2 linked regions of the Rhinolophus ferrumequinum genome follow. The protein of the gene in region 1 purifies or fractionates together with the protein of each later gene. This does not show direct contact. Links are inferred from orthologs where the notes say so. Each region holds a gene or a part of one and is shown in the gene's direction. Other genes may lie near its edges.

The links.
Region 2: the proteins of S100A4 (region 1) and PPFIBP1 purify together in Homo sapiens (co-immunoprecipitation; 3 studies listed by BioGRID and IntAct, with this or other methods). This does not show direct contact. The link is inferred for Rhinolophus ferrumequinum from reciprocal best matches to the Homo sapiens genes S100A4 and PPFIBP1.

What each region holds. Positions count from the first base shown.
Region 1 is NC_046305.1:52,503,518-52,514,531, reverse strand, and holds S100A4 (protein S100-A4), read left to right. Parts: upstream 1-6,325; 5' UTR 6,326-6,482; intron 6,483-7,307; 5' UTR 7,308-7,322; coding exon 7,323-7,463; intron 7,464-8,172; coding exon 8,173-8,337; 3' UTR 8,338-8,469; downstream 8,470-11,014. Other genes in the region: S100A3 (protein S100-A3), read left to right, coding at 4,115-4,255, 4,695-4,859. UniProt on the Homo sapiens protein: Calcium-binding protein that plays a role in various cellular processes including motility, angiogenesis, cell differentiation, apoptosis, and autophagy.
Region 2 is NC_046293.1:38,329,221-38,339,939, forward strand, and holds the start of PPFIBP1 (liprin-beta-1), read left to right. Parts: upstream 1-5,539; 5' UTR 5,540-5,574; coding exon 5,575-5,638; intron 5,639-8,840; coding exon 8,841-9,046; intron 9,047-10,719. UniProt on the Homo sapiens protein: May regulate the disassembly of focal adhesions. Did not bind receptor-like tyrosine phosphatases type 2A.

The sequences.
Region 1 (11,014 bases):
TATCACAGACGAGAATAAATGCTTGACCTGGAACCGAGTTAATTGCGGGGCCACTCTGGCCCTCACTTCCGTGCCCAACTCCCCCTAATTCCTTGCCTATAAAACAGGGCTAATCACAGCCTGCCCTTCCCTCCCAGTTGCTTGCTCTCCTCACCCAGAGGGGCTGGGTCTTCAAGGAGAAAGTGGCACAGGCGAGGTCTGGGCACTGGGGGCCTGGGGTGACCTCAAGGTGTTATTGCTCTGGCTGCGTCTACGAGGAGCTCACCGCCTCCGGCCCTTCCCACACTCTTCTGGGTCCTGGCTTCTCTCTCTGTGAAATGAGGAGGGGTCTCTCAGGTTCAGGGGTGAGGGAGGGAATGGAGAAGTGACATGAAGTGAGGGGAGGAAAAAACTTTGCTCTCCCCGCCTCGCTTCTCCCCGCTGGTCTAATAATTAAAGCAACACGAGACAGATTAACAAGAGAAAAATAATCGAGTTTAATTACATACGTATGTGTGGGAATCCCAGCGACACGAGAGGTTCAGAGGCAGAAAGTTAAACTGAGGCACATATGACGTTCTGAGCGGAGGATGAGGTAAGGTGCCTTGGGGGCGTTAGAGGTAGGGAGGGTCATAGGCGCGACGATAAAAAGAGCAGGTGTTCAGTAATTAGATGTTTACACTGCCACATAGAAGAACTTTCTGGCGATAACTCATTATAACTCATTTACGTTGCTTAAGGGAGGGGTAAACGTTTCTCGTGGGCCCACAGGGTCTCGGTTGCTTTCAGCTCAAAATAATTCACCAGCCCAAGTGACACATCTTGGGGAGGCCTGTTCTGAACCTCTTCAGAAGGGATTTCCATTTTTGGTAATACGGTGGTCTGTGCCTGCTCCAGCTAAAAACAACAACAAGAAATGCGGGATAGAATTTGAAAAAAAAAAAAAAATCTTTTTCAAAGTATTGAATGCTGACAAGGCAGGAAGGAGTGGGAAGATCAAGCTCTCAGTAAAGCAGACTCCGGGAGGCGAGGAGTGCACCAGGGCTAATAGCGCCTGGAAGACATTGGCCAAACCGAGCCAAAATGACCTTTGGCTTTGACGGTTTGTGGAGTGAAGAACACAGAGCCGAAGCCCAGGGCTCACTCGAGGTGGGCAACAAGGGGGACACTCCCCATCATACTGGGACCCTAAAGGGCTACTTGCTTCAGTTCAAAGCTGAGGAAACCCACCCCACCCCATGGGATCACAAGGAACAGTGGGGCTGAGCTCTAGTCCCAGGCAGCCCATGCAGGAGTCTGCAGCCCACCTCCACGCACAGCACTGTGGGAGGGGGTCGGGGGGGAGTGTAGCCAGAGAACTCAGCCTAGACGGACGCAAACGCCCCTAGGAGCAAAACACACCTTCCTCCTGTGCCTCAAAGTCATCCGTGGGCATTCGGAAGGATCCCCAGCACGTGCCATCCCTGGCAGGACATCATTTTGAGCTGAAGACAATGGAGGCCCCAAAGCCTAAGAAAGTACTTTTACCTCCCCTTTAACTGTCTGAAATAATTTAGGTAAAGGGCCTGGTCCAGGAAGAGCTCTATCCCCAGAGAGATCTACAAAGAATGGGGGTAGGTGTGTTGAAGGGGGGCTCAGCTGTGATTGGAGCCAGAGTCCTCTCTGAGTCCCTCCCTGACCCTTCCACATTTGCTTTTCCATCTCCATGTGAATTGTCTTCCTCCTTTTTGAAGTCCCAGATCCCTAGCCCCTTCTCCTTAGTTCAGAAGAGCACATAAGCCCCTGTCACCTGACTGCCTGTGGGCCCCGTATTCTTATGGAGCACCCCCCACGTAGGGAATGAAATGTGTTACTCTGTTAATGTGTCGTATGTCAATTTGAGTATGAGACCAGCCCAAGACCCTGGAAGGGTAGAAGGAGACTCTTTCTTCCCCAGCACATCCCGCAGCTGCCCTTCCCAGGGAGGCGAGCAGTTGGCAGCCCACAGCTACCAAACACACATCTGGGGATCAGGCAGGTGTGTCCCATGGCCTCCGTCTTCTCACCTGTAAATGAAGGGCTTAACCAGATGCTCCAAGAGGGGAACCCCTGGCGCAGGGGTTCTCTGGGGGCATAGATGTACGCCAGGCTAGAGTGTGTTCCCACATTGTATTACGGGGTGTCTGTTCAGAGTGAGGAGATAGGGAATGGATCTGATGGACTAGCCCAGCCTGTCTCCTCCAGCGACAGAAGGGGACAGGCAGGAGGCTGTCCCCAGTTCCCAGCTCTAGGGGAGGGCGGAGGGGGAATGAAGGGGTGCAGTGTCTGATGCCCAGACTGGGTCTTTGATGTGTGCGTGGATAGGTGGGCGGCCGGGCCTGTAATAGGGACTGCCAGGGAAGGAGGCAGGGAAGCCCCCGGGGGCACCCTCAGCTTGACCTACTTGGGCCCCCCATAATTGCCCTCTTCCTTCCCTGGGAGACTACAAATAGGGCTGCCCTGTCTCTAGGCTCCTACAGCTGAACCGCCAACCACCAGGGGTGAGTGCCAACTGCTTGGGTCCTGCTCTGGACTGGGGGTCGGGCAGTTCAGGGAGGGTCCCCTGGTCCCGGGTGTGGGCACGGGGGCAGAGGGATGACCAAAGCTGGGATTGATGGGGTGAGGGAAGTCACAGCTTCTCTTGTACGGTGAGGGGCTGTCGGGAAGGTTGGGTTAGGGGCGTGCAGGGCTGAGGTCTGGCCCTGGGGAGGGGCCAATGGGCTAAAAGCACTGGTGAGACCCTCAGTGAACCCCCTGCAACTCCCCTTGCCTCCGTCCTTCTTTCTTCCAACGGGTTGAGACAGGCCAGGCTGCATGGGGAACAACAGATTCCCTCGGGTTTCTAGGCACCTAGCTTCTGGAAAAGCAGCAGTGGTGGCGCCAGGCAGGCTGGCAGGAGCCCAGAGGGGCAGCTGAGCACCCGTGAGGCTTAGTCCCTGGGATCAGGGCCCTTTCCTGTCCTGGGAAGGTGGACAGCCTGCTCCAATCCTGGGCCGGCACAAAGAGTCAGACCCCGGGGGGTGCTTGGTCCCATCACCCCCGCCTCCCCCTTTCCATAGCCACAACCGTGCTGGCCATTTGCTGTACAGGGCCCAGCAGAGGGGGACTCATTAGAGGGAGAGGCTTGGCCCTGGCTGCCTTGTTACAAGACTCCTGTCCCCTGGGGGAACCGAGTGAGTCACCGGGCTCACATGAAAACAACACTTGTCTTCCTGGCTGCCTTCGGGTTTCACCAGGCTGGAGGCTCTTCCCAGAAGGCGATGCAAGGGTCCAGTGGAATGGGGTGGAGTGGGGTGAGGGGGGCAGTGCCATGAAGGGCTTCCCCTCTAACAGAACAGGGTACCCTAATGCTGAGCCTCCTGTCTCAAGACCCCCAGGGGTCCGGAGGGTGGGCTCAGCTGGGGCAGATCACAGATTGGTAAATGCCTGAGCTTGCTCCCCGACTAGGCCTGTGAGGTGGGACTGACCCCACTTTACAGATAACGCACCTGAGACCCAGGTCGGAGTAAATGGCTCACCTGGGACTGCACACCTAGTGAGAGGCAGGGGGCATTTCCTTTGGATGATGAGTCCCTGAGTTCGGGGGAGGAGGGATGGTGAAGGGTGGTGAGGTGGTGGGAGCTCCTCTCAGACCCGACCCTCCCTGACAATGCCCGGCTCCTCCAAGGGCCTGAGAACAGGGAGAGCGGGCAAGGGTTGAACGAGTTCCTACAGAAGGAGATCTGGGGTCCTGAGAGGAAGGAGCCTTCCAGGGTCGGGAGCTGCTTGTCATGGCGTGGTGCAGAGTGGGACTGAGTCCTTCCTGGGTGCTGGGGATGAGAAAAGGTGGAGAGAATCAGGGAATCCTCTGTGGGGGGGTCGGGGGAGGGCACTCTCCCTGAGGGGTTTGCAGTGATGTTGGGGAAATGAGACCTCTGTCCAGGAAAATAACAATGGGGGCACAGCACAGAAATAGATTAGCAGGTGCTGGTGTGGTCAGGGAGGGCTGCTCAGAGGAGGCGGGCTTGTGTGGAAATGAAGACAGGTCTGGGACAGGCCCGGAACATGGAGGGCAGAGGTACAGGGCGGTGACCGGGGCCTCTGCTATGGGCCACATCTTTGTTCTGTGACAGTGAGAATGGCCAGGCCTCTGGAGCAGGCGGTGGCTGCCATCGTTTGCACCTTCCGGGAATATGCGGGGCGCTGCGGGGACAAGCATAAGCTGTGCCAGGCGGAGCTCAAGGAGCTGGTGCAGAAGGAGCTGCCCACCTGGACCCCGGTGAGCCCCTGGGGTGCCCAGCCTCTGGGGAATACCGCTTGGACTCTGCACAGAGAGGCCTGGGACACGCTCTGAGCAGAGGACAGCAGGAAGTGGGGGAGGCCAGACCGTGGGGCGAGGACACCAGGCAGGAAAGTGACAGGGCAGGAATCGTTTCCTCATCACACGTGCCGCTTTGCAGGGCTGCTGGAGGATGCAGTGAGAGTACAGTAAAGAAACACACAGGAGGCCCTCAGCAGCCATAGTGGGTTGCTCCACAAATAATCTGGGAAGGAGAATGGGGGGGGGCGGGGGTCGGCACGGTGAGTTATCAGAGCAGGTCGGCCAGGTTGGGCCCAGAAGGGCTGTGGGTTGGGATGGGTGGGATCGCCCAGGAGTAGGGGGAGGGAAGCAGCGTGTGTGAGGCATCCTGCCCCCCGTGGCCCCCTCCCCCACACAGACGGAGTTCCGGGAGTGTGACTACAGTAAATTCATGAGTGTTCTGGACGCCAACAAGGACGGCGAGGTGGATTTCGTGGAGTACGTGCGCTCACTGGCCTGCCTCTGCACCTACTGCCATGACTACTTCAAGGACTGCTCCCCGGAGCCCCCCTGCCCCCAGTAGCCTCTGCCGCAGGGTCTGCCCGGGACCTGCTCCAGCTCTGCCCTGTGGGGTCCTGGGCATGGCACCCATACCCCCTGCCCTCTCTTCTGCATCCTTCTCATGTGGAATCTCCCAGGTCTGCCCCTGATATCCTAACCCCTGTTGCCTGGGGCAGGGACCTGTGAAGGGACCTGTCCCCAGGATCACAGCTAGTGACATGCAGAGCGGCCACCCGCTGCCTCCCGGCTGTGGTGTGTGATGGGAGAGGCAGGGGCGCTTTGAGACTGCCCAGGCCCCCCAGAGCATGTGCACGAAGGAGGCCCTGGTGGGAAAGGGCCTGCTGAACTCCCAATAAAGACCTGGTGTCACTCGGTGTGCTTTGGTTCTTCTTACAGGCCAGCCGGGGGGCAGTCCTGCGGAGGTCATGGCTCCTCTCTGGACTTTTCCACTGGAGGATGTCACGGGTCCAGCAGGAGGGGTGGGATCCACACAGACCGTGTTGGGCTCTCTCTGTCTCTCTCTCTGTGTCTCTCTCTTTGGGAGCCAGAGGGCAGCCGGAGCTTCCCTGGGGATGGAACTCAGTCCTCATGACAGGATGATCTGAACGGAGGGTGGGGCCCTGGGTCTGGGGCGGGGTTGTTCCCTGCCCCGGGCTGTGGGCGCCCAGAGTGGCACTAATAGGATTAGGGCGCCTGAGGTCTGATTAGGGTGCTGTCCCACACCGGGGAGGGGTGCCTGGCCTTGGAGCGGGAAGAGGAGCCCTTGAGGCAGACTCCACGCCCGAAACCACCCCCGCCTGAGGAGCTTAACCCCCACTTCTGACCTGCTCTCAATCCCTGAGTTTATACCCCACCCAAGGGGTGAATCCCCCATTTTGGGCCGTTTCACCCCTCACTTCCCACCCTGTTCGTCATTCCTGACGCCCAGCACAACTCTAAACTCCCGTTCCTGACCTCTGCCCCTCCCCGCCTGCTCTTAGTACCTTCACACCGTCCCTGAGGCCCACACCTGCCTCCCACTTCCCACTCCACCTCTGTCTCATCACTGGCAAGCTTGGTCCCAGGGCCTCCTTTGGGGGATACCTGCTTCTCCCAGCCCCCCAGCTCCTGCCCTGGGCCTCACTCAACATGGCAGAGAACACTTTGGGGAAGGGAGAAAGGCAGTGTCAGCTGTGCCAAGCGCTGAGCTTGGGGTCCCCTCCCTCAGGGCAATTTCCCACCTGTCACCCACCACCCCTGGACCCCCTTTCCTAGCTGCTGGGTGGGACCACTTGCTCCCTGTCTTCTATGCTCCAGGCACAGACTGTCCCTTCCTCCAGTTCCCTAAAACTCAGGCTGAGCTGTGTACACTGGGGGGAGGAGGGGTGGGGCTGAGGCCCCTGCCTGCGCCCACTGGGGCTCGCCCATTGTCTGTGGCTGCCAGGGGCAGGGAGCTGCATTTCTAGGCTGGGCTGGTGGGCGGGGGGCGGGGAGGGGGGCCTGGCATGCATCACACAGGCCGGGCAGAGGGTTGTCTCCCGTTCTCCCCCATCCTCTGCCATGGGCAGGGCCTGCCCAGGGTATAAATAGGTCCAACCGCTGGGCTCTCCCCATTCTTCCTGTCTCCCCAACCCTCTCTTCTCAGCGTTTCCTCTCTCTCGACCTGGTGAGTTGTGGTCGCATGACTGGCACGCATCGGGTGTCAGGCTGAGGCTGGGACAGGAGAAGGGGAGGCTGGTGGGGGCCAGATGTGCTAAGTGGGTCCAGATGTGCGGTTCCGATGTGGAAGCTCTGGGGTGGGATGCATGTGTGCGCGCCCGTGCATGAGCAAGGGAGAACGGAAACAAAAAGAAAGACGCGTGCGGTTGGCTGGATTCAAGCTCTCTATAGTATGTTGTGTGGCTGTAGTGTTGTCCTGGTGCATGTTTGACTCGTGGGTGCGCACATTGGCTTGTGTTTGCTGGGCTGCACAAGCCTGTGTGTGCACACTCGGGTGTGGGAAGCAAAGTGAAGTCAGAAGGCAACCGTGGGCTTTTGTCTGGCAGTGTCCCATCAGCCTCTGGCCAGCTCCAGCAGCCCAGCCCAAACTTGGCCTCCCCGGCCCTCGCCTGCATCCCTGCCTCTGCCACCTCACCCTGCCCTCCCTACGCTAGACCCCGGGTTTTTTCCATGCTGGGCAGGCCTCCAGCAGCCTCGCCCAGCATTGGGGGGGGGGGGGGGGGCGGGGAGAATGGGCTGGGCGGGCTGCTGTGGGCTGAGCTGTGGGACCAAAAGGACTGAGTGCGCCCTGGGAGCTTGCATGCTGAAATCCAGGGCCTGCATGCCTGAAATCCAGGAAGTGTTTGCTGCCTGAAGCATGCATTTCCCATGGTGCACGCCCTCCCCACCAGGAGCTGAGACCCACCTTTCCCAGCTCCCCCTGTGGCATGGGAGTGGGTGGGGCATAGCTGGGGTGGGGTGGGGAAGATAAGGATGCCTCTGTGACCCCCAGATCCTGACAACCACCATGGCACAACCTCTGGAGAAAGCCCTGGACGTGATGGTGTCCACCTTCCACAAATACTCAGGCAAGGAGGGTGACAAGTTCAAGCTCAACAAGTCGGAGCTAAAGGACCTGTTGACCCGGGAGATGCCCAGCTTCTTGGGGGTGAGTGGCTACTGCCTGGAAGTATGTCCCCCAGTGGTGTGTCCCCGTCAGAGGCTGGACAGGGCCCTGGGAGGCACCAGTCTTTCTGCAGGGCAGTCATTGCCGCGGGCATCTGTCACGGAGGCGGGTGGAGACGTGGTGAGCACCTGTCACTCATTTCCTGGCGCCCAGCAGAAAAGGGGGCTGAGAACGAACAAGCTGTTAGGGACCAGGCAGTCGGCCAGGGGCTTGGCACGACCGACCAGAAGGGCAACTCACGCTCTGAGGGGCTAAGGAACTTCCCAAGGTAGTCAGCGTGCAAAGCTGAGGTCCACGAACCAGGGCGGTCCACCTCTTGCCATCACTGCAGCAAAGAACCATTTTTTGAGTTTCTATTTGGTTTTTACCTGTGAAGAAGGCACAGTTACGGAGACACTCACACGCCTATTTCCCCTGAGCAATCCTAGCTCCATCTGTATCAAACTTTATGCAACTTAGACATATATTGCTTTCATGACGATTGTCCCCCCGGGGGAGAGATGTGGTCCCCTTTTCCAGTTGCATCCAGGTACTCTCCCTCCCTAGCTTGGCCCTGAAGACTGGAGTTCCAAAGCTGGGCCCCCCAGGAGTGGCTGCACCTGCCTGAGCTCCGTCTGCAGGAAGAAGCCTGCTCTAGTTTTGGCTCTGTCCCCAGACTCCCGGTTTCTACCTGTAACCTCTCCCCCTGCAGAAACGGACGGATGAGGCCGCTTTCCAGAAGCTCATGAGCAACCTGGACAGTAACAGGGACAACGAGGTCGACTTCCAGGAGTACTGTGTCTTCCTGTCCTGCATCGCCATGATGTGCAATGAGTTCTTCGAGGGCTTCCCTGATAAGCAACCCCGGAAGAAATGAGGGCTCCCCAGATGCGAGTGGGGGGCCTGCCAGCTGGGGTCCACCCTGGGGGTAGTGGGCACAGAACCTCACTCGGGCTTCTTCAGACATGTGTACGATGCTGAGCAAGTCAATAAAGATTCTTAGAAGCTACGAGGCTGATGGTCTGAGACTCTGTGGGGGTGTGGGGTGGAAGCTGAGGGATTTGGGGGGGTGCGGGACTCTGGGTGTAGGCTGCAGTTTTGTGGAGACTAGTGAAGGTGGGGGAGGGATGTGGGCTGACTGTGTGTGTGTGTGTGTGTGTGTGTGTGTGTGTGTGTGACAGCATTGACTCTGAAGAGACCGGGGGCAGGAAGGGGGCCCCCAGAGGCTTGGACCGCCCGAGCTGTGGGACCTTATCCAAAGCACCCGCCCCTCCCACCTCCCTCACCTCGCCTCTGGCAGGACCTCTAACTGAGGCTCGGTGGGATTGAAGATCACATCTGCTCCTGGTTGGGGTTTGGAAAGGAGTTTGGGTGCCCTGGGGGTGAGGTGGGGAAAAGGGCTGAGTCACGGGGAGCAGCGAGGCCCGTGTGGAATGTGGAGAAGGGCTCAGTCCCGCCGTCCACAGCCCAGGCCCTGCCCTGCCACCGCCCTCCAGCGCCTTGGCTCCCAACCCCAGGGGGATGTCCCCACAGATCAGGGAGGCGCTGTGGGGGTGGCCAGGCCATTGCAGCAGCCTGAGAATGTGTCCTTCTCCAACCCCCGGGTCTGCCCCAAAGGCCCTGCGGTGAGTGACATCTGTTCTTAATTATTAATCATGTTCTTTCAGAGAAGGACAAAGGACCTTGGAAGGGATGAGTGGAGGACAGTGGCTGGGGTGGGAGAGAGGGAGATGGTGGGAGGCGACTGTAATTTTGGAGACAAAACTCCAGACACAGAAATAAAGTTGAGATTCCCCACCCTCAAGAAAATACCAGGCACGGGATTGCTTCTCCTTAGGTTAAAAGCCAGTAGCCCAGTGTGCAGTGGGGACCGCTGAGGGTAGGTTTCCAGGCCATGCCTGGGTGGGATGGGGACCTTTGGGAAGAGCTGAGTAGAGAGGGCAGGTCCAGAGGCAGGAGGGTTGGGTCCCCGTGACCGTTGGAGCTTTGCCCTTTTCTTCTCATCACATGTGTTGTTCTCTCAAGTTTCAGAAGAGTTGGGTAGGTGACTCAGATACTCCGTCAGAGTGTGACTACAGAGACTTGGGTGGAATTTTAGTCCAGGAAAAAGTGTTCCTCCTCCCTCTTCTCTTTCCTCATCCATGGGCGTGCGCTCGCCTGAGCCTCCTGCATCACTCTCTACCTGGGAACTCCTGTTGCTAGGCGACCAGTCCTGGCTGCCTCTCTAGTGCAGTGCGGAGGATCCAGGCAGACTAGGGTGGGGCCGCAGCAGCCGTAGGTCCTAGACCCCTCACTCGGTCCTGTTCTTAGACTTGGGCTGCTTGGTGGTAGAACACTGTCTGAGTCTCTCCTGGGTCCCAGGCAGCTATCCCTGACCCCTACCCGGTTCCTTATTGCGTTGGAACCCGCTCTCCCCAGTCCACAAGCTCTACCCCATCCCTAGGCCCTCTCCTTCCCTAACCCCCGCCCCAATCCCTGTCTCTCAGCCCTCCATTCCAACGGTCTCTGACGATTCTTTCCCAGGAAGATGATTGAGGTTTAGGAGAAACCATTTGAAAGCCCTTTAAAACCCTCAGGCTCCCGACCAGCTAATGACCTTGACCTTGACCATGCCCTTGGCAGGAAACATCGTCCCCCACTCATTCCCCCACTGGATTCGTCCCCAGTCCTGTCCCAGGAGGCTCTGACCTGGGTCTCCTCGTGTCCCTGGCCTCTTCTCATTGGCCCTGCCCCTGCCCTGGTTTCCCAGAGACTGGAGAGAGGGAATAAAGGCAGAGAGCAGTGGGAGTGAGCCTACTTCTGCTGCCTGGGTTCCCTGGCTTATTTCTTCCTCGGTGAGTCCTTCTGTCTAAGCTCCCTACCTGTCTATATGGTGGGGCAAGCTGGGATGAGGCCAGGGTGTGAAAAGCCGTGGTGACCTCCACCAAGGAAGACCCAGCTCGATGAGTGGGGCACGTGCTCAGGGAGGAGGGCAGGGAATTTGGAACTGTGGCTATCAGCCTTTCCTGAGAAGGGGTTTTGGGGGAAAGGTGGGAATCAGAACCAGCCAAGACGCTGTTGCAGACGCCCCTGCGTCTACTGCGGTCTTGGCTGAGTCTCCTGGAGGTGGGGAGAAGCTGAGTTTTTTGGGAGGTGGGAGGTGAATGACAGGTCTGGTTCAAGAACTGGCTTCTTCCTGCTTGCTCTGGACTCTGTACAGATTTACCTGCAGCCCTCAAGTTCCCTGGGTGTTGCCTCCTTCCTCCCTCAGGGGGAAGTGGTTTCCACATCTGAGTCACGGGAGCTCCAGCTGCCACTTCCCGTGGGTGGGTGTGGCTGTGCTCCGTTCTACACCACCTCTGGATCCAGCTCTCAAATGATCCTGGAGATTTTCAGAGGCCCCCACCCTCCCTGCTAGTGTGTGTAGTTCCCTGAATGGGAGACTGAGACCAGCTGGACAAGTCCAAACACCTCTGTCCTGTTTCCTGTTGAGACCTCACCTCCCAGATCCAGCCCCAGCCCCCTCCAATCTCTGGACTCTCTCCTTGCCCTGTCCCCCGCTTCTATAATGGGAC
Region 2 (10,719 bases), on another chromosome or scaffold:
CCCAAACCTTATTCCTTTGTTGTAGCTATATTTCCTGGTAGCTGCCTTCAGCAAGTTATTCAGAGAAGTATATATTAGCTATATAGAATCCAGAAATGAACTTGCTATCATGTAAGAATCATTAGATGTTAAAGTTTTAATTTTCTAAATAGTTTTGTCCACCCAAAAGAAGAAATTATAATCAGTTTTCTAGATAAGCAAAGAATTAGAACAAAGGGCCGTGGATAGTCTTGAGTCTTTTATTTTGGACCTCAGGTCTGTAATTGGATTATTCATTATCCTTGATTCATGACATATTATCACTGTAAGTCCATGCATTTCCTACTTACATTAATCCATTTATTTAGTTCATTTTAAAATACAATTTTTAATTTCTAAAAATCATCTTTATTCCTAATTTTTAAAATTTGAGATGAAATCTACATACAGTGAAATATATACATCTTAAATGTGTAGTTTGATGAGTTTTGACAAATGTATAAACTTGTGTAACCAAACCTCAATCAACATACTGAGCAGGAAGTCCTCCAGTATCTCCTTTAATTATTTGCCACTTCCTAAAAGTAACTATTGTTCTACCTTCTATCACCATAGATTGCCTATTCTTGAATTTTATATAAAAGGAATCATACAGTACATAGTTGTTTATGTCTGGCTTCTTTTGCTCAACACAATGTAGCATGTATCAATAGTTCAGTCTTTTTTATTGTGGAGTAATATTCCATTGTATTGGAATAACATCCATTGTATTAAGTATGTGAGGACACCCAGGCGAATCTTCCTCTCAGAAATTATTTTGAGGATATAGGAAAATCTTTTTAATAGTGTGGGATTTTCAGAAGCCTTTTTATGTAGCCTTTCTATTTTTAAAAATACTTTGACCCAGCCATGACAATTGACATAGCTTTATCAACACAGATGTTCACTAAATTAGGCTGCCTCTGAAATAACTCAAGCCATGGACAAGTCAGAATTTTAATATATATGGAAATTCTGTTCTTAGTATTAGTACTTGACCGCTCAGGTGGCTGTTGTTAGTCTTCTGTGTCCTGCTTTAAAGCCCATTTGGAACTTACTGAAACTTATTTTTGTGGCTTTGCATACATGGTCTATCGTGGTGAATATAACGTGGACTTGAAAAGAATGTATATTCTGCGTTTGAGTGCTTTGTTTTATAAATTAAATTAGATCAAAATGGTTGATGGTGTTGTTCAAATCTTCTATAGTATTACTGGATTCTTTTTCCTATCTTGTCTACCATTCCAAAAGAATGTTGAAAAGGACAAACAAATGACAGATGGAGCAAACAGAAAAAAAATGGCAGGACAGTAAACTTAACTCTAACCATATCAACAATTAGATTAAATACAAATGGATTTAATTTGGGAAATTCTCCCTCAATTGTGTTGTTTTTTGCCTCATGTATTTGGAAGCTCTGTTATTACTTGCAAAAAAAAGTTGGAATTGTTACGACCTCCTGATGAATTGACTCTTATCCTTATAAAATAGCTTTCCAGTAATATTCTTTGATTGGGAGCTATTTTTCTTATATTAATATAGCCACTCCTGCTTTCCTAGGCTTACTGTGTGCATGTCATCTCATTTTTCATTTTTTCACTTTATATTTTTAATTAATAGCATATAGTTAGATCTGTCTTTTTTTTTTAAACCAGTCTGACTTTTAATAGTGTTTATTTCATTTATATTTAATGTGATTATACCATTGAGTTTAAATCTACCATCTTGCCATTTGATTTCTGCTTATCCCATCTCTCCATTGTTCACCATAACTGTCTTCTTCCAGATTAATTGAGGTTTTTATTAGTATTCCATTTCATCATCCTAATTGGCTTTTTTATTTATATGTCCTTTTTTTAAAGTTTTAATGGATTACATTGTATATTCTTAGCTTACCACAGTCTACCATGAATTAGTATTAAACATCTTTGTATATAATGTAGGAACTGTATCCCCTTCTATCCTTTGAACCAAAAAGATTGTGATTTTCTTCAGGAGTCCTAGCAACTCTGCATCACATGGACTGAGAGGTGTCCACAGGTGAAAAGATGTATAAACCTGAATCTCACTCATATGGTTCCCTTTACTCAAGAATGAATTCCTTCCAGTTTTTACCTGCTTCTGTGGCTCTCTTATTTCTTCAAAATTGTTTTCATGTAGTGTTTTATATTGCTATTTGTGGGATAATTTGTCCTATAAAATATATTCTACCATTATCAGCAATGGAATTCTCATTTTATCATTTTAAATAATGCAGTAAGCACTTTTGAATTCATAATTATGACTCAAAAACTTGACGTTGACCTTCGTTTACCTATGTAACTCTTTTTTTAGTCTGTCCCAATATGTCCCTGGTTTGAGGTAGTCATCATTCTGAATTTCATGTTATCATTCCTTTTTTAATTTGTGCACGTGCTTACCCTGAGTCTATATATAGTTCATATGTATATTTGTATTTAATTATTTTTAATTTTATAAAATGTCTTGCTGAATTTACCAGAGACTTACTCTTTTATTTGCTATTATATTGCATAGATTTGTTCATACTATACATACATTTCTTTAGTTTTGACAACTGTATGCAATTCCATTGTATGATTATACCAATTTATTCATCTCTTTTCATATTGATGGACATTTGGGTCATTTCCACATTTTTGTCCTTGTGAAGAGTCCTACTGTGAACATTTGTGTATTGCTTGTGGTTATATACTTTGGGAGCCAATAATGTTAGATTGAAAATGAGTATGAATGTTTAATTTTAGCTCATTTTACATTCCCACCACCATTCTAGAAGAGATTCTATGAATCCATATCCACTACATTACTTGGTAGTGTTAATTTTTTTTTTTTTTGTGCCAACAGACTGGATGTAAAACAGTATCACACTGTGGTATTAAATTCCTTGGTTATTAATACAGTAAGCATCTCTTCATATTTTTATTGGTTAAAAGTGTTTCTTCTATTATATGCCTGTTAATGCCCTCACCCATCCCATTTTTTAATTGATTCATAGAAGTTCTATATTTGGAATACCACTGAACTTGACCACCTATAATTAACTACTTTTAACATATTAAAGAGATCTTTGGCCTCTGAATCTGTCACTGTCCCTGACTTTCCTATTTAATTTGCAAACCCCTCTAAACTCCTGGCCCCTCTTGTCCTGTCCATTTTTAACCCTAATCACCTACCGCCTTTGCCATACATATTACATACATATTTATTGTTCTCACTGTCTTCTTCTTACAGTTACATGTTGGTTATTACGTGATACATGTAGAGATCAAGAGTAAGCATTTATAAACTTTTATAACAATGTAATAGCATCATATTTTTATGATAGTAAACAAAGGATTGGTCTCTAAAGAATTGACAAGTTTTTTAAAAATGGGTTTTTACCGCTTTGAAAAGCATGGCCTGCATTTTCATACCTCCATGCTGTAGTATTTGAAAGGCTCTATGAACAGAACAGTGAAGAAATAGATAATGACTTGTTATAGTTGAACGTGTTCATGCTCTACACAAAATATAATTGCTACCAAAGGCAAATATTTGTTTTTCTGATTTAGTGAGGCAATGAGACTCTTTTCAATGTGAGCATCACTTTGTTTTATTAGCATTCCTCATGTTTTATATTTATAGCTGAGCCTGACATGACTTGTATTCATCTTTTGTTATCGGTATATATTGAATATCACAATTTTAATACAGTTTTTTCCTTTCTTAAAATGTGTATACTTTTTTTGGCACACTGTATGTCTGTGTGTGTGTGTGCGCGCGCGTATACTATGATTATATATGTGTGTGTATACTATGATATATGTTTTTGTGTGTGTATGTATATATATATACGTGTGTGTGTGTGTGCGTATATATATATATATATATATATATATATATATATATATATATATACCATAGTATCTAAAGCTCTTTGAAGTGCAACTTTTAAAATGAAACGGAATGCAAGCCACTTAATTATATGAAAGTCAATGACTGTATGCTATTTGGCTTAATCTTTGTTTGCAATTTTCACATTTTAAGTATTCCTCCTGAAATGTGATTATTAAATTGATGCCTCACCTCTTGAATTGTTCACTAGCTAAATATGCAAGTAAATTTTTAAGAACTACCTAGGTTCATAACCTTGCTTGTTAACCCTCTGATATCTGGGTGACTGTAAACACATGCCTTGGGGATTTTTGTGCTGTAGTATTTCCACATAACATGGTAGTGATATTTTATATTTTCTGAAGTGAGTAAAGTTCTGGCAAATTCTTAGATGCAATCTATAAAAGCTATAAAATCAAAGTAATATTTCACAATGATTAAATGACATTTTATTGGAATGAATACCCAATAGAGAACTGATCCAAGAAGCTGTTCATCAGAATTGTAAATGTGTTTGTAAAGATAAAGTGGTAAGTGAAATCTGGCTGCTTGGAAACAGAGGGCAAAGGTTTCTGTGAAATAGCATAATCTTTATTTCTCATGTTATTTGTTCTGCTACTGTGCGTCTGTGATGCAGGTACATCACAGTATCTGCAAAGTAGCAAGAGCCTTCTTTAGGCCTGTTGGGAGAATTTATGTGGATGCTTAGACAGGTACCTGAAATGCATTAAATAATATTGAAGATCACATAATTTGACTTTTTCCTGTTAATGACCAAATTTGTTGCAAGGATAATTTCGATTTTTTAACAGGCAAAAGAGGGAGTAGTTTTTGACACAATTTCAGTATAAACCTATCATTCAGATAGGCTCAAATAAACAGAAATTCAGTATTATCGTGGAAATAGTACAGATCTAGGTTAAAAATGTTTTTTTTTGCTTTATTTGCTATGTTTCTATACAAAACAACAAACGTCTTTGGTCTCAATTATAAAATGGAGATGAATTTATCCGTTTTATAGGGTCTTGTCATGATTAAGGATTATGGATAATTTATGTAAATATATAGGGACCACTGTAGGCATTCAGTACATGGTTACTACTATTACATTATAAAATGACAGATATGTGTGTATAGTATATTTGTTCATGAACCATTTTATTAGGCAAAGTCTTACAATTAAATTAATTCTCTATAAAGAAAAAAAGGCAAAATTAAATGAGCAGAGATTGGGTAAGGCTGGTGCAGGGAAAAAGAAGTCTTCTCTACCCAGCATGCCTCATGGCCCTCAACAGGGTTCCACAGCCATCCCCAATGCCTGTCACAGGGAACTAGAGCTTTACAGAGAACAGCATGGGAACCATTCTGCTGAATTTTAAACACCTTGAGTGCAAGAACTGAATCTTACTTATTTTATTAACTGACACAGGTGTAGCACGTGGTCTTGCAGTACAGTAGATGAATATTGGCCACACTTGTTAAATGGTTCAGTTAATTCAGCTCTACTACTTAGGCATTCTCCGTATTTGTCTGCTAGGCGGAGCTATAATTTGAAGTTGAATTATCAAACCTGCCAGGAAGTGTGTATCATTTAGAGGATGTAATGCTAACATCTTTGTTTTTTCAGATCTAGGTTGGAATTTGCCCTTGACGAATATCAAAATGATGAGTGATGCAAGTGACATGTTGGCTGCAGCGTTGGAGCAAATGGATGGTATTATAGCAGGTAATCTGCATCCTCTAAAAAAAATGGAACCATGCCATTTATTCTGCTCTCATGGCTTTTTCATTATAACTCTTTTATTATCTTTCCATTTTCTTATTTTCATTTATTGTCTCTCTCCAACAACTTTAGTTTGGTTCCCTATGGTACTATATTTGTTCCTCTTCTCCATTTTCTTCCAGAATTATTCTTAAATTTTATTTTTAAATGTCAAAAGTTTCAGTACTATCCTAGGCTTCTGATCAAGGATAATGAATCTGCTTCTCAGGTGATTCGGGTGCTGGCAGTATGTGGACCACACTTTGAGGGATACTGCTCTACCTAGTACCCATGAATGTTCTGATCTGTTCCCTTGAATTCAACACTTTTCCACCAGTGACTCTCACATCTAATTACTTTTCCAATTCTTTGCTAAGCTTCAAGTCCCTGTCTCTAACTGCCAATCATATATCTCCCCTGAAATGTCCTGTATAGACACATCAGTGTCATTATTTAAAACATTGAGTTCATTTTCTTTCCTCAGAAACCCCTCTAGTAGTCTTCAGCTAATTTCATAGCCCTTCATCCACACAGTTTCCTAAACAGAAATTTAAGTCATTCTACACACTTTTGTCCCTCATATCCCCCAACTTAGTCAATCAAGTTCTATCAATTCTACCTCATACCAAATTCTATCGTTCTCTTTTTTCCCCTGTCTAAAATCTGTCCTGTCTATGCTACCATTGTCTTGCTTTATCTAAGTAATGCTCTCATTTGATGTTCCTGACACTCTTGCTTTCCTGCTCTAGTCCATCTTTCTCTAAAACACCAGAATCACCTTTCTAAAGCCCAGTCTGATCATATTACTTCCTTGTTAAGAATCTTCAGCAGTTCTCTATTATGGAAGCTGAGCAAAAGCAGCAGACCATCACTTCCTAGTTTTCTCATCATGGCTGAGGGGACTGACTAGTTAATAGGCGAACCCTTTCACTCCCTTGCAGTCTCTCAAGAGTGGTGGCTACCTAAGGTCTCGTGTCACATTTTGTATTTTGTCTCAAATACCCATTACTACGGGAAGAAGGTTGAATGGGCTATTGGGTGGGGTTGTCATGAATGTACTTGTTGATCAGGGTCAGGATACAGCTGGCGTTTACTGCTCCAGGATTCTAGTTTTCCTGCCCCAGCTGCGTACTTTTTTTTTTTTTTTGTCATAAATTCGATTCTACTCTGTTTGGGTGGTTTGAGAAACCGTAAGTGCTTTCCTTTTCAGAAGGTTCTTCTTTTGAGGGAAGTGGCATGTCATGGTTTGGCCTCCTTTGTTATACTTACATGTCTTGGAGACCCGACTTCAATTTGATCTCCTTTGTAGATAAGACCATACCTTTAGAGTACTGTATTCAGTTCATGGAATATCATTTTCAAAGGATCACTGGAATACTAAAACTTATCTAGAGGAGGTTAGCACGAAGGCAAAGAGTTTAACCACCACATCTAGTAAGGAATTGGTTATACTTAACCTAGAAAAGTGTATTGTTGCTTGGGGCATTACTCTGTCACAATTTCAGAAAATATAACTAGAACCAATTCTAGACTCTTACCAGAAGTTTTAACCTTACACTTGTAGTGAAAATGAAGATGAGAGAAGTGCTATTTCTGCAACAGTAGTTGAAGGATTTATATTTTATATACTGCACTAGATTAGTGTATTTGTTCCTGTCAACATTAGAGTTATTAAGAAAATCAAGATTCCTTAGGTCCCACCTCAAACTAAGTCAGTCCAGTAGCATTGTGGGTAGGATCTGGATTTATGTTTTCAAATTAACCTCTGTTAACATTATACCTCCAACTGAGGTAAGAGAGAGAGAGGAGGAGAAATGACTACAAACATTTGGGGAATTTTTCTAAATACACATCTCTCCCTTATCCCCATTTTGTTTTGTGACAGAGACCTAACAGGATAGAGGGTTATCATGGGCTCATGTATTTTTAATAATATCATCAGGTGATCCTATTGCTTAAAACTGAGGAATAAGACATTAGAGCCTGTCTGGTTTTTAATGCTTTTCTGTCCCTCCCTCCCCCTGACATACTCTCCTCAATGCATATTTTTCTGCGTTCTCATTTCAGCTTTACAAGGATCTTGAGGGGATTGATTCGAGGGTTACGTGAAGCATTTAGTTAGCATTGTGCCTAACGTATTAATGGTTGCCATTATTAGAGTTTAGCAGATTTTGTCCCAGTATTAGGTAGATCAATGGGTTGGATTAGCTGGAAGGGAATTCCTCTCCCCATTGTTAGAACTGATCAAGCCAGATGGCCAACTGGGCAGAGAACTTACACATTGTTTCACAGGTCTCACCCAATTGTAAGAGCTTCAGATTCATGAGGTGATAACCTAATTATCATAATTACTGATATTTAAGTATAAAGTCAGTATTCATATTTGATAGTATGTATATTTGACAGACCAGAAAATAAAAATCTAAGATATGAAGAGGTACATACGAGTGCTTTCAGAAAGGGCTGTGGGTCAGTTATGTGGATTTAAGTAGCAGAATGTTTTATAAATAATAGAAAACAAAAATGGCTGTAAAACTGTTTTTTTTTTAAAGCCAAAATTAACAAGAGCATTTGATGTTAGGCTGCAAACAATCATGGGGAAGATGTTTACATACACAGGCCCATACATACTCGTACATGTACAAGTATGAGTATACACAGGTAATCATTGAACTTCTTCAGAGATTAAATTCTGGTAAGTTAACTGGGAGCTGACCCTCTTACCTTTGAAATTATGCTGTGCAATTTCCACCTCAATGTGTAACTTATTTATAGGAAATTTAAAGACTTTATAGCCCCTAAAATTTGTGTTTTTTGGAATGCATGGCTCCCCACAAACTTATCTGCTACCTTCTTACCCCTTCTTTCTACAAGGTCAGCACATCTTACACCAAAGCTCACTATCCTCTTACTATACTACACAGTTGGCTTCTCTGTTAGGTATTTGACCACTGATATTTACCATCAATTATGTAGTTTTAATTTTTGCACTAGATAACTATGCCTTGGAGAGATTTACATGATCGAATTGTCTTTTCCCTTTTTTTTTGTTTTGGTTATTGCTCACTGTGACTGGACTTGCTTGCCACCTTCAGCTTTAGTTTGTTATCTAATATAAATTCTGTTGCTTTCTCTGTGACTGTTTTTGTTTTTTTTTTTATCCTAGGCTCTAAGGCTCTGGAATATTCCAATGGGATTTTTGATTGCCAGTCTCCCACCTCTCCGTTCATGGGAAGCTTGCGAGCTCTGCACCTTGTGGAAGACCTGCGTGGATTGTTAGAGATGATGGAAACGGATGAGAAGGAAGGCTTGAGATGCCAGATTCCAGATTCAACAGCAGAAACGCTCATTGAATGGCTTCAGAGTCAAATGGTAGGTGTCTGCATGTTACAAATCCCATGCTGTGAATCTCTTTGCTTCTTTTTCCAAAATTTGTAGCCAACTAGAACAAGAATGAAAATTATAGGGCAACAGGTTTGCCCTTAAGATATCCCAATTCCATTTTGATTCTAAGGATAATTTTTTTAAAGTGCTGTTAGTGTACATTTCATGAGTGCCAGCAGGTTGTCACCTGATTATTCTTATAGTACTGGACTAGCTTTGAGATTATATCAGAATGACCTATTGTGGCTGAGAACAAATAGTCCAGTAAGAGAAAGAATGCACATAACAGATACTCTCTCAATAATATTGGGCGGTTTACTGTAAAAAGCAATTCTAAATAGGCAGTACAGTGAACAGACCTCAAAAAGCAACGGTTTTTAGCAATATTTGATATGAAGGGCCATCTAGTGGTTTGTGGCAGTCATTTCAATTACAGTGTGCGAGTTAAGTTGTGGAGTTGGGCTTTAAATGATGTTCTTAGTCACTGAACAATGAGGTCTCTTTCTAGGCATCCTTCTCAAAAATTGATGATATGGCAGATCTCCCCTTTCCCTGAATACAATGGTAAATACCATGGATTTAATATGTGTCAAACACATAAAATCAATAGACTATCACAAAAACATATTCAAAGGAGAAGATAGAAAAAGTATTATTTCCTAAGTATTTAGAGGAAGGTACATTAATAAGCTTATGAATTAATTGTGTTTATATAAAGGCCAATGAAAATTGTATGAAAGAATTAAGGTCTATTTTTGGATCTGTGGTAGGTATGGAAGTTACTAATATTTTCTTTGGGAACCATAATCTACATCCTACAGCTAAAACATGTTCACATGACATGACACAAAATACTGGTGCCGACCGGGCCATGCGGAGTGTTTTTACCGTGTTTCCCCGAAAATAAGATCTAGCCGGACCATCAGCTCTAATGCATCTTTTGGAGCAAAAATTAATATAAGACCTGGTCTTATTTTAATATAATATAGGACTGTGTATAATATAATATAATATAAATAATATATTATCTGTTACCTTCTTACCGGGTCTTATATTAATTTTTGCTGCAAAAGACGCACTAGAGCTGATGGTCCAGCTGGGTCTTATTTTCGGGGAAACACGGTATGTCCCCAGCCAAGATACCTTCCCCTTTCTGAGTGCAAATAGTACGATAATGTTTTAGTGGTGGTGCAGCTACACAACTTTGACAGTTAGAGATAGTTTATCTTTTGTAATACTTGATGCCTTGTTATTATACTTTATATTTGTTCTGGAAGTTTCTCCTCTAGAGATTTAAGTATCCAGCTTTTCTAATTTCTTTGGGGAATTGCTTCATGCACTAAAATTAGATGTTTCTTAGAATATTCCTTAGGCTATTTCTACTTCCTGTCTCACCCTTCTTTACTCTAGATTTTTCTGATTATTCGGCATGTAATGGGAAAGGAATTTACTAGTGGGAGAAGAACCTATTCTTAGCCCACATCCAGAGGCTGCCAATGGTAGCCATAGCTTAAAGATACCTGTGGTTGAATTTTTAACTTGTGTCCAAAAACAAGTGGTGTCCAAAACAAAGGCTTGTGTCCAACACACTTCCATTAACGCATACTCAGCCTGTTCTGTTAAAGTCTTTCCAAAAAAAGACTAAAAATGATGATGATGAT